Schizosaccharomyces pombe: one gene and its partners. The protein of the gene in region 1 binds, or shares a complex with, the protein of each later gene. Each region holds a gene or a part of one and is shown in the gene's direction. Other genes may lie near its edges.

The links.
Region 2: SPOM_SPBC3H7.04 (region 1) and bot1 share a complex: the UniProt entries of both Schizosaccharomyces pombe proteins name them as parts of the mitochondrial small ribosomal subunit.
Region 3: SPOM_SPBC3H7.04 (region 1) and fyv4 share a complex: the UniProt entries of both Schizosaccharomyces pombe proteins name them as parts of the mitochondrial small ribosomal subunit.

The regions. Positions count from the first base shown.
Region 1 is NC_003423.3:1,875,182-1,878,937, reverse strand, and holds SPOM_SPBC3H7.04 (mitochondrial 37S ribosomal protein mS42), read left to right. Parts: upstream 1-2,156; 5' UTR 2,157-2,378; coding exon 2,379-3,041; 3' UTR 3,042-3,284; downstream 3,285-3,756. Other genes in the region: SPOM_SPBC3H7.05C (uncharacterized protein), read right to left, coding at 3,406-3,756. UniProt on the Schizosaccharomyces pombe protein: Component of the mitochondrial ribosome (mitoribosome), a dedicated translation machinery responsible for the synthesis of mitochondrial genome-encoded proteins, including at least some of the essential transmembrane subunits of the mitochondrial respiratory chain.
Region 2 is NC_003423.3:2,231,264-2,235,019, reverse strand, and holds bot1 (mitochondrial ribosomal protein subunit S45), read left to right. Parts: upstream 1-1,897; 5' UTR 1,898-1,908; coding exon 1,909-2,856; 3' UTR 2,857-3,237; coding exon of another isoform or gene 3,238-3,414; 3' UTR 3,415-3,477; downstream 3,478-3,756. Other genes in the region: SAGA complex subunit Spt8, read left to right, coding at 1-937; SPOM_SPBC14C8.15 (triglyceride lipase-cholesterol esterase), read right to left, coding at 3,238-3,414, 3,478-3,756. UniProt on the Schizosaccharomyces pombe protein: Component of the mitochondrial ribosome (mitoribosome), a dedicated translation machinery responsible for the synthesis of mitochondrial genome-encoded proteins, including at least some of the essential transmembrane subunits of the mitochondrial respiratory chain.
Region 3 is NC_003423.3:3,431,550-3,435,305, forward strand, and holds the start of fyv4 (mitochondrial 37S ribosomal protein mS41 ), read left to right. Parts: upstream 1-2,118; 5' UTR 2,119-2,176; coding exon 2,177-2,270; exon of another isoform or gene 2,271-2,320; coding exon 2,321-2,568; 3' UTR 2,569-2,678; coding exon of another isoform or gene 2,679-3,011; 3' UTR 3,012-3,278; coding exon of another isoform or gene 3,279-3,756. Other genes in the region: U1 snRNP-associated protein Prp39, read left to right, coding at 22-425; autophagy-associated protein Atg5, read right to left, coding at 653-1,045, 1,117-1,291, 1,338-1,456, 1,543-1,641; SPOM_SPBC4B4.12C (uncharacterized protein), read right to left, coding at 2,679-3,011; plasma membrane pantothenate transmembrane transporter Liz1, read right to left, coding at 3,279-3,756. UniProt on the Schizosaccharomyces pombe protein: Component of the mitochondrial ribosome (mitoribosome), a dedicated translation machinery responsible for the synthesis of mitochondrial genome-encoded proteins, including at least some of the essential transmembrane subunits of the mitochondrial respiratory chain.

The DNA.
Region 1 (3,756 bases):
ACGATAAAACAGTGAAAGTATTTACCGACCCAATCATTCGTTTACTAATGCTAAATTTGATACTATAACTGTTGATAATTGGACGTATTGAACTAAAGCGATTCTGTAGAAGCCAATATCTTGACTCGCTAAAGTTACACGTAGCCAATAAAAGGGGTTACCACCTTCCTCTCAGCGTACATTATTGGTCAATGCAAGAAAAGGTTTCTAAGGATTTAAAAGGCTTCTCCGTGTTGCGTTATTCGACATAACACTTGCAAGTGAATCCTTATTTATAAAAGAGATGGATAAGGAAAGACAACGTATCCATCACCGGTAATTGTATGACAAGCAGAAGCTATATATCAAAGGAATTGTACATTCGTTCTCAGCTATTTCTCACTAGCCAGATGTTACTATTCTTCACTTGTCTTGCACGCTTCCCAAACCATTTCGACCGCCCGAAAACAATCAATACCAATTAATACTTACGACATCATTGAGAAGAAATGTTATAAATAGACCTTAGCTAAACTGAAGGAACATATACTCTCAATTGCAAAAATGGTTACTAAAACCGATGTATTACGGTTAGTTGTATTACAAAAATTTATTTAAAATGTATGTTAGTATGTCATCAATTATTCATGCTTCTTGTCCTTGATTATTGTTATATATCTTTTGAGCGCACATCAAATAAATTAAACGGATTGGTAATTACAAAACAGACATGCTGAGTTTGTGTAAAAATCATCGCTAATTCTAGGTGGTATATTTAATCTATCCTATAGAAGAAATTACCTTTACTCGTTAGTAATGTCTCGTACCATTGACACAGTCTAATACATTAGCAATTAAAAAAGACTGTGGCATGGCCTGTAAAAAATACGCATCTAGCTCTTATTTTGGATAAAAATAAATAAATATGTGACTTACTGAAAAAATTGTACCAGGGTCAGATGAAACGTTGAAAATTATTCGCTTATAGCCCTGATCACTAATGGCATGTAATCCAAAACTAGTGGATAGTGAAACAATCTTCTATTTTAACTATAACCAGATAATATTAAATTTAAAAAAAGTATCCGTAATCCATAAATCACTTGTTACTGTTGTGTAGAGCCTGAAATTGCAACAAGACCGGGCTTGGCAGCATGTATGCATACTTGGGTTATTCCGTCTAAGTTTCAGCAGTTCTTCCTTAATATAGTAGTAATCTTTTTGTCTCAAATCCCATATTTCTTCTAGCTCAGCCCCAATGGTAGGTATTCTTCAAAAACATTTGTATGCAGCTAGTTATTCCCTATTTCGCTTGTAAGCATATGAAACAATCCCAGTAGCCTCGGCTAAAAATAACCTTAAACTTTTTTTTATTGCCAAAGCAGCTTTTTGAACGATGAAAGAAATGAAGCTTCGAAAAAAATGCAGTGCACTTACAATTTTAGTTAACTAAAACTAAAAATAAATGGTAGATGTTTCCAATCCATGAACGGTGTTATGAACCTGTATCAATTCCTAATTAATCGTTAGCGTATGGTTTCATAAACGATTAATCACGAATGTTTAGATCAAATTTGAGTAAGCTTTTGAACAATTAGGCTGCAATCTAAACGGTTACATAAAAAATTTGAGGGTCTCTTGAATTACTGAGACAAAAAAAAAAATCGGGCTGTTGTGGGAATCGAACCCACGACCACCATCACCCTAAGATGGTATCATACCACTAGACCAAACGGCCACAATTGTCATTTATAAACGTTTAACATATTTACAGTTCTTTCACATAAAAGTTGTGATCATTCGAATATTAAAGTTATTTTTCTTCTTCTCAAGTCAATGAATCTTCTTATAAAAGACGAAGTAAATTTGATTGAAAATGAGTCATACAGCTTACTTTTAAATTGAATCATGGTCATATTGGGAATAAAGGCTTTTATAATCCACCGTTTAAACCCGTTGAACGCTTTAAGATTACTTTCACAATTTTTTTTGGGAAACTTGTTAACAAATTCATTGTAATACTAGTTAAGTTTCAACGAAGTTTTAGATTTCTGTTAATTCAACTTCAAAAATTTATATAGTGGTATAATGGTATATATCGCAACAAGGAATGCAGAACTTTCATACCGATATTTTACTTGCGCCAGTAGGGCTGCTTACCTCTCTCTGAGCGGTCTGAGTGGAACGCCTTTACCAATATTGAAGTTGAAATATTTCAAACATTCAAAAACGTAGCATCTACACTATTTGATTTTCATATTTTGTTAATACTTAATGAATTAATTATACAGTTTGGTCGTCTTTGCCAATTTCTTAGGATTACAAAATTTAAACCCGCATACTTGATTTCCATTGCAGTTTTTTATACCCATTCCCTAACTATTACCTCAATTTAACAAATGAGTTTTCAACAGCGCTTCGCCAGAGCGTTGGACGTGGGCTACAAGAATTTTTTGTCAAAAGATGCGGTCAGGAATATCTTTGCTTATGACAACCACTTACGAGGCCTAGTACAAAAAGAATGTAAAATTCATCAAACTCCGTATCGTGTGCCTTCAGATTTAATGGTTCAAAGCGCTAGTGACCCAGCCCGCGCTAATTTATTCAATTACTCTAGCCAATTGGTAAATCATGATTTTTTCTTTTCCGGCCTTATTTCTCCAGAACGGCCCTCTGCAGATGCAGATTTAGGAGCTATCAACCTAAAGCCTGGAATTGATGCATCCTTCGGTTCATTTGGTGAGTTGAAGTCTCAAATGGTTGACGTTGGCAATTCAGTTTTTGGTGATGGTTGGCTGTGGTTGGTATATAGTCCAGAAAAATCTTTATTTTCCTTATTATGCACGTACAATGCGTCAAATGCCTTTCTTTGGGGAACAGGATTTCCTAAGTTTCGTACCAATGCAATTGTACCGCTTTTATGCGTTAACCTTTGGCAATATGCGTATCTTGACGACTATGGTTTAAATGGTAAAAAAATGTACATTACAAAATGGTGGGATATGATCAATTGGACGGTCGTCAACAATAGATTCCAAGCTACGCGCATTGAATCCCTTTAGCTAACCCGACTGAATCCTGCACAATTTTCAATCTTTTTCTACTTCTCTCCCCTCCTCTCCCGGCTACGTTTTGTATGCAAGTGATCATGGTGGCTTACTATGGGTTCACTTTATCTGATTGAAAAAACCCATACTATTAACAAATCTTATAAATAAATAAAGTTTTGTAATTACTGTTGGCAAAGAATGAGAATTAGAATGCTAAATGTAATGTTTCCCTCTATATATTATTTAACATTCCAACAATATCTACGGAAAAGTTAATTTAGTTGAACCATCCATTAAATGTATAAACTAGGACACATAGCAATTATCTGATACTTTAGAGGTTTCGGAAGGTCAAACATAGACATTAAACAGTAAATTAAATTTGCGAGCATGTTTTCCACTTAAATTTTAATAATACGACTCCCATACCATATGTTCCATTAATAAGCATTTCGATTATTAGGACCCAATAATGATATTTGCGCAAGAGGGGAATCCTTTTTTCAAGATTAATAAGGAAAGGTTGAATTAAAAGCTGAAAAAAGAAAGCAGGTGAACAGCGTCCAGAAATTGACCAATAGGCAAAGTCATGGAATAATGCTGAAAGGAAAAAACATGAACAACTTGCCAGAAACTTACTTCCAGTGAGGGCAATAGTTGGATCCCAAGCAATCACTCTGAAATAGGGCTTGGTACAAACATGCCAATCTCTGGACCAAAAATCATT
Region 2 (3,756 bases), 360 kb from region 1:
CTCTACAAGACATCAAGAGGGTTATCCCGTTACTTCTTTAAAAAAGCATACGGCTCCTGTTTCGTGTTTAGCATTACATGGTTCCGAGAAAAAAGTATTGAGTGGAAGCTGGGACAAAATGGTTTATTACTGGGACCTTAACACTGGTGATGCAATATCTACATACAATTGTGAGAGTGGTCAAATTTCGAATATAGTTTATCGTCCATCAGGCGCTGTAAATCCTTGGGGTTCTGAATCGGACGACATGCGTAGTTTGTTCGGTACACCTGCGTCTTCCTCTTCTTACGATGCACTGTTTGATGAAGAGGTGGAAAAAGCCATTGAAGAAGAAACTAAATCTGTTCAAGCAAATGAGGAGAACGAGACAGAAAAACCCTCTCAAACCGAATCTACTACTAACAATGACAACATAAAAGCTCCTTCCGAATCTTCATCCGAAGAGTCCAATATTTTCTTAACGACGTCTATAGATGGAGTTATGAATGTATGGGACCATCGCATGGTCGATTCTGTTCTCAAATACCCCGTCCCCAAGGGTGTACCACCATGGGCTATGTCTGCATGTTGGAGTCCGGATGGAAATAATATATATATTGGCCGCCGAAATGGAATCGTCGAAGAATATAACATTCACTCTGGCAAGGAGCCTGTTCGCTCTTTAAAAATGCCTCTCGATTCGGGTCCTGTTTCAAATGTCTATTCGATGCCGAATGGCCGTCACCTTGTAATTTCCTCCTTTGATAATATCCGCCTTTATGATCTTCAAAGCAAGGCCGGCATAGGGTTCTTAATTATTCCAGGTCATCATGGAGGTCTTGTCAGTTCGCTTTATGTAGACACTTCTTGTCAATTCATGTTTTCAGCTAGTGGAAATCGAGGATGGCAAGGAACTACTACTGAAGTGTTCCTCGGATACCAAATAATGACTTCATAAAATGCTTTCTCTAAAACACATATTCGCAATAATGTACATTATGATAATAGACTGAAAGGAAGTGGGTTACGATTTAGTCGGTCAAATACAAAATGGTCTTTGAAAGGCACTTTGGATTTTGCCTTAGTAGGGTCAATTATATGCCTATTGTCGTTTAACTTTAAAAATCTTTTTGAATTGTCTCCCTTTCAACATTTGAAATAAACATCTCAGTTAAAGTTTTTAGAATAATTGTTAAGCCCATGCACTCTTCATTAGTTGATTGCTTTTTGGGTTTTTGGTTACTCTCTAAATAATTTGAGGTAAGTTTATAAATGTTTCCTTAAACCTATTTCCCCTTTTTTGCCGAATATAATAAACTTAGGTATTAAGCTGAGATTGTTGGTTATGAACTTTCTGACAAATATGATACACAAATCGTTTTGTTTGTATAACATGTATTCTAAAACTTTCCTCTACTTTAATTTTCAATTTGGAATTTCCTAATCAATTTAATGCCATCCATCCGCTTTATTATTTGTTGATGTGTCAATTGCCAAACAAAAATATCAAGGACATGCGAAACTCTTGTCTAAAGAAGCAATGACCGTATTTAATGAATTTTTTTCGTTTGATTCTGTAGAAATTATGACTTAAATTGTGTATTTATTTTTTAAGTATTGATGTGTATAACTGTTCGTATCCTAATATTGGAACTGACTCTCAAACATTCTATAGAATAAACAAAATCTTACTTTATTGCATACTGAGAGTTATTGTCTCATAAATAAATCAAGCGTCTGTATGTTAATCGGATCTTATAATGGAGCTAGATTGCTTGACCGCCGGAGGTTAAATTTGAGTTTTCCTAAATCGTCTCATTAATTATTGGTTTTTTGAAGTTTATTTTCTATATCTATCTTGATGAATAGAATTAGGGCGTGTTACTAACTTTTGGGGAGTGACACAAGAAACCTTTCCAACGCACCTAAATGAGGAATTCAGTGGAATTCTCACAGTTAGGGCTTAAAACGGCTTTTAATTTATCTCAAAATAAAACTTATACCTCAGCAGTCAAGAAACAATTCTTTAGTACTGGAGCATTTTTAAGCAATGGGGGAAATATTGATTTAAATAAACACACTCAAAAGAACATTGATTCAAAGTACGTTGCTTGCAACTCAAGATCTGTAACACCCCCAAATGATGTTGCTTCTTCAGTTTCTAAGAATACACTTCGTCATAAACAACGTTTAATGATGGCTCAATGGTTAATGTCTCCCGAAGTACAGAAAGCAAAGTCCTCATCATCTGGTAATGTAGGCTTGGGACCTAATACAAATCAGCCCTTCCCTTTAAACCCTTTTTTTAAGCCTCCTAGGCCTATATCTCATTCTTTGCGTATGAAAATTACCGATGAATACTTGCAGGGTGCAAGTATAGAAGTGCTTGCTCGAAAATTCAACACATCTCCACAAAGGATTGAAGCTCTTATAAAGTTGAGAAGAATAAATGATGAATTCGAAGAAAAAAAGAAGCCGATTCTTCATAGTTATAATGAAGTTATGGAGAAAATGCTGAACGCATGTACTAAACCTGAGATGATGCAGTTTAATGACGGAAACGATATTCCTTTGCGTTCCAATCCAGTATCCCTTTGGAAGAGTTTGCCTGAGGGAGAAACGTTTACACCTCAAGAGGCTGCTAAAATCCTGAAGTGGCCTTCGATTGAGGAATTAAACATGAGACAAAACGCTACTCACTTCCACAAAACATCTGATGAGCACAAAGATTTGAATGAAGATGAAGAGCTAATTTCTTCAAGCCCCAGCGAAGTTGGGAAGCGTGTTTTTAGGCTCATTGATCTTTCTACTGGTAATGTGTATAGAAGGGATACCGGCGGGGATATTTATGTTAAGAGAAAAAAATCTACTACCTGAAAATCAAGCATTTATTTCCCGTTTTTGAAAGAAAATTTACCCCCTTAGCATGCATTAGCGGCAGTACAATCCATTTCAAACTTTTGCGAAATAAAATCTTGAATTGTTACAAATTCACTCAGCAAATTCTTCTAGTTGTTGCATTATCTAAAAGTTATTTGTACATATAAAAATTGCATAGTTTTTTTTGCTTTCGTTGCCATATTGACTTTTTCAAATTAAACAAAGAAACTTTTTTTAGCCGTTTAATACAAATACTGATAAGAAGGGTTGCACATACGATGAAACAGTCTATACAACACTGTGCTTCAGTTTGATTTAGAACAGAAACTTATCTAACATATTAAATATACATTGTGCCAGTTTCAGAAGCGATGAACACTATATTGTATGGTTCATAACGCCGTCAACCAATTCTGTGTCAAGTCCAAATTCTTCTTTTATGCTTTCAAAGTAATCTCCAGCAATGACATGATTTAGTTGTTCTACGACTTGCTGAATTACTATGTCCTTTTTCGTATCTCCCATGATGATGTCGAGATGCTCATAGTTAGGAATCTTTAATTTTAACTTGTTAGTTTCCACTTAAGTAAATGAAGCTACAACTGTTTCAGAACATACCTGAATGCATTGAGATAATGGTGGAAGTTGGGTCTTGAGTGTTTCAATGTCCACCATGTTATCGTTACTGCCATAAACTAAAGTAATAGGTAGACGTATATTTTCAATCGGATAGCGAGCAATTCGGTTAAGATTTGTATAGTAACTTGGCTTAAATCCTGGACTGTCATCGTACATTTGTAATACTTTGCGACGCGTAATTTGAGCCCAATGTACAAAGCATTTGACAGAAGTAAAGGAATATAGATGGGAGTATGCAACGATTTTCTGAGTTTCGGA
Region 3 (3,756 bases), 1.6 Mb from region 1:
TGTGGCTTACATATTTTCCAGACAGCAAAAACTATACTGAACATCACGCCCGTGTCTCTAATGTAATGGAAATGATTAGAAATAAAACAAGGTTACCGCCAAGGACGATAATGGATCTTACAAAGCTATACATGGAATATCTTTGCCACCAATCCAACGATCCTTCAGTTTTACAGGAATACTTATTAATTGATCGAGATGTCTTTGGGCCTTTTAGTGTACGGGAATCCCACTGGAAAAAGCTCGATGAAGGACAAGATTTGAAACAGGTTAGTACTAGGCTTTTAAGCACTAACGGTCACCCTGGTATTTCTGTGAATGAAGCAAAAATCAAGTCTGGTGAATCTCCATATGAGAAATATTACCGTCTTCAGGGTGTTGTTGAGACAGTAACATCTGGTGTTGCTGCCAATGGGTCTTCATAATCTACGACTTCTCATTAAAAAGAAATTTTCATAGTCAAATTATCAATGCTATATCTCGTTGCATTTCCTACTTCTTAAAAAGCAGTTTGTTTAGGGAAAGGAGTACTCAAACGCACCTTAATGTCATTGTAAAGTCATTGCTAGACTGCATGGGTATACAAATCTTAAAATTATTTGTACATGAATAACAAATTATCTAAAGGAGCTAGAGAAGAGACGTAAATGTTTTAAACTTTCATTAAAACAATATGTAAAAACCCATCAATGTAACAGAAATCTCGATTGAGCTCGTCTAAAACGCTCTGAAGAAAAATTGTAATACCATGAATAACTGGTTTAACTATTAAGAATTTATCACATGATGGAAACAAGTCGGGAAGGCGTTTATTGAGAAACTCACCAAGAGAACTACCAAGAGGTGCAGAAGTTTGTATAATAGGAGCATTGGCCCCTAAATAAATTTTTAAAGGAATGAATTTGGATTTTGAAAAAAGTATTTTTATAGCAATGGGACGGAAATCATAGTAATCATGATTGAGTATTGCATTCCAGTAGGTGTCTGTTTCTGCCTTTGAAAGAGCGATTATTCCAGACGAACTTCCGTTACGAACGTAATCAGACTGTAAAAAGTTAATATGGATTTACCCCTTTTGTAAATAAATCATATATGTTTTTGTGATAGAGAACGCACCTCTTTTAAGCAGTTGAAAAAATATGTTCGAAAAGTATCCATGGTTTCCATTTGAAGTATTTTGGTTGTAGGAAATAGACCTGAGCGCAATTGAATGCGCCATAGCACCGGCGCTCGAGGAGTATCCGGATCAAACACTGTTAACAAATCGAAAAGTAAGCCAACAGGCCAATGCCTATATTATGATTAATTTACGGAAAGTTACTTTGGGTAAACGATACCATTTAAGAGGAACCCCATTATAATCCAACCAACATTCTGATAAAGGGATTGAAGGTGCCAACAGACGTTGAACATTTGGGAGTATTTGAGCAAAATATGATTGTCGCGGGACGTTAGCCTTAGGTAGAATATGGTGAGCAAAAAGGAAAAAATAAATTGAGTTAAAGAATATTAAATTACTACTTGAGTGAACAAATCACATACTAGATAGGCCAGAGAATTACCTTCATAATCAATGCGCACAGAAATAGTGCCATTCCAAAGGAGCTCTGGAATATTGCCTTTATTATTATCGACATTCATTTTTAAAAAACATCTCCAATACTGTGATTAGAAATTGTGCTTTTGTTGTATACTTAACAAACTCGTGGGTGGTTGGAATGCGTTGATAAATAGCTTAGAGTCAGACATTCACTATAATTAGTTAAATTAATGTTTTTACAATTAAAGTAAGTGGGCTTTAAATACACATAGTAGAGTCTTCAAAAAATTCACCCGAAAATATAACTGGTAATTTATATGTTCAAAATACGAGTTCCTGCTATACAAAAACCGCAATTAGGAATTTGTAGATTCACTGTATTGATTAGTTAATAGACACGTAATGACTTTTCGGAAGTAGAAGTTTGAGATATTCAAGGGACTTGAAAGTTTGCATGCAGTAAATCTCATAAAAGAATTAAAAGCAAGGATTTATATAGCTAATAATTGCAGGCACTAAGCTTGACATGGTCGCACTATGAGTCGCTAGTACGTTTGTGAGACTTTCGCATACGTTCCAGAAACTGTACACAACTTATTTAAACAACCAAATATTTTTAAAACAATACTGGTAAATATGTTGATCTTGAAGAGGATTTTCATTATAAGAAATTTTATATTTCCTTTTTCTAACTGCCGGTATGCCTCTACTGTTCCTAGTCCAAGATCAGGTATGAGATTTCAAAACATTAGTGCAATTTAAATTCCTAACAAGATTCAGGGATTTCTAATACAAATGATTTCTTTAAAAGAATTGGAAGAGATACTGCAGAAAAAGTGAACGGAAAATTCGAGTCTTGGGATGGTCTATTTAGGAAAAGTACAAAAACTATGAAAAAGGAAGGTATTGATGTACGTACAAGGAAATACATTGCAAGCCAAAGAAACCGATTTAAAGAAGGGTTTATAGTTAAGCCATATCCAGTTATGGTTAAAAAGAATGGAGGTGAGCGACGCAAACGTAAATAATAAGTATATGGAATATTATATTCTTTTGAGACATTCTTTCTTCTTTTTGTAGTTGAGTTTTTGCTTGAGTTCGAATTAATCTAAAATTTGCTTAAAATAGCCAACACTGTTCAAAGCATGTCTTTTCTCGACGAAGATGTGGAGCCTAGAACGCAAAGCCGATTAAACAATTGTCCATGAAACCATTTAGCAAATTCTGGAGAATTTTCCATTAGTGCGGAATTGGCGCTAGGGTATTGTCTCCCTCTTTCCAAGTTATTTTCATTTGTTTCGTTCACGGGCTTCCATTCCCACTCTCCTGCCCAGATTAATTTAGCTTCAATTTTTTCTCTAGTCCTAATATATAAAAAATTTTCTTTTAGCTCCATTAAGTCTACACCATCGCTAAATTCCTTTAGGACTGATGTATACTCAATAACTTGTTGATCATTGCCGGATACCATCCAAACTATACGTATAGTTGGTATTTCTATTTAATGGTTATAAATTTTTAACTTCAGCTGCACCTTAAATCGTTTGTTAGCAGATTCTTTTTGAGTATGTGTGCAAAGGTATTCGTTTGCGTTTGCGTCAAAGGGCTTGGTCAATTAGATGAGCCAACTGTGGTAAATTTTTATGTTAGGTTGATATCAATATGAACAGCAAATTTACTCTAAATGTGTACTTAAAGGCATAAGGAATATTTATACTATGTCATTAATCTTCTAGTACTAATCTTGGGCATTCGTTTCTTTTGGCATGGAAATTCGCTGTCGCGTTATCACAAGCCCTGGAGAACTAATTTCTTTGACCGCATTAGTTGTGTTGAGTGATTCCTCATCATTTTTGCCTATTTTTTTTAACTCTAAACTTTCATGCTCAGTGAATACATCATCGAAATCTTTTGCATCCTGGATGGATCGTTTAATTCTTTTATCGCGGATTTGCATGTAACTAACAATACAAGAGCTAACAAAGACTATTCCTCCTACCACCAGCAAACCAATTAATCCTTTTATAAATCGAGGCGTATCAGTATTGGGATACATTATAGGTGCCCACCAAATATGCCAGATATTCTGACACATATTCATCAAAAACACAACAACTCCTCTTTCCTGATCATTATCCCGGCAAATGTCATTTGCCCAAGAAAACCAAACTGCTTGTCCAGCATATGTACAACCAGAAGCGAAATAAGCAAAGAAT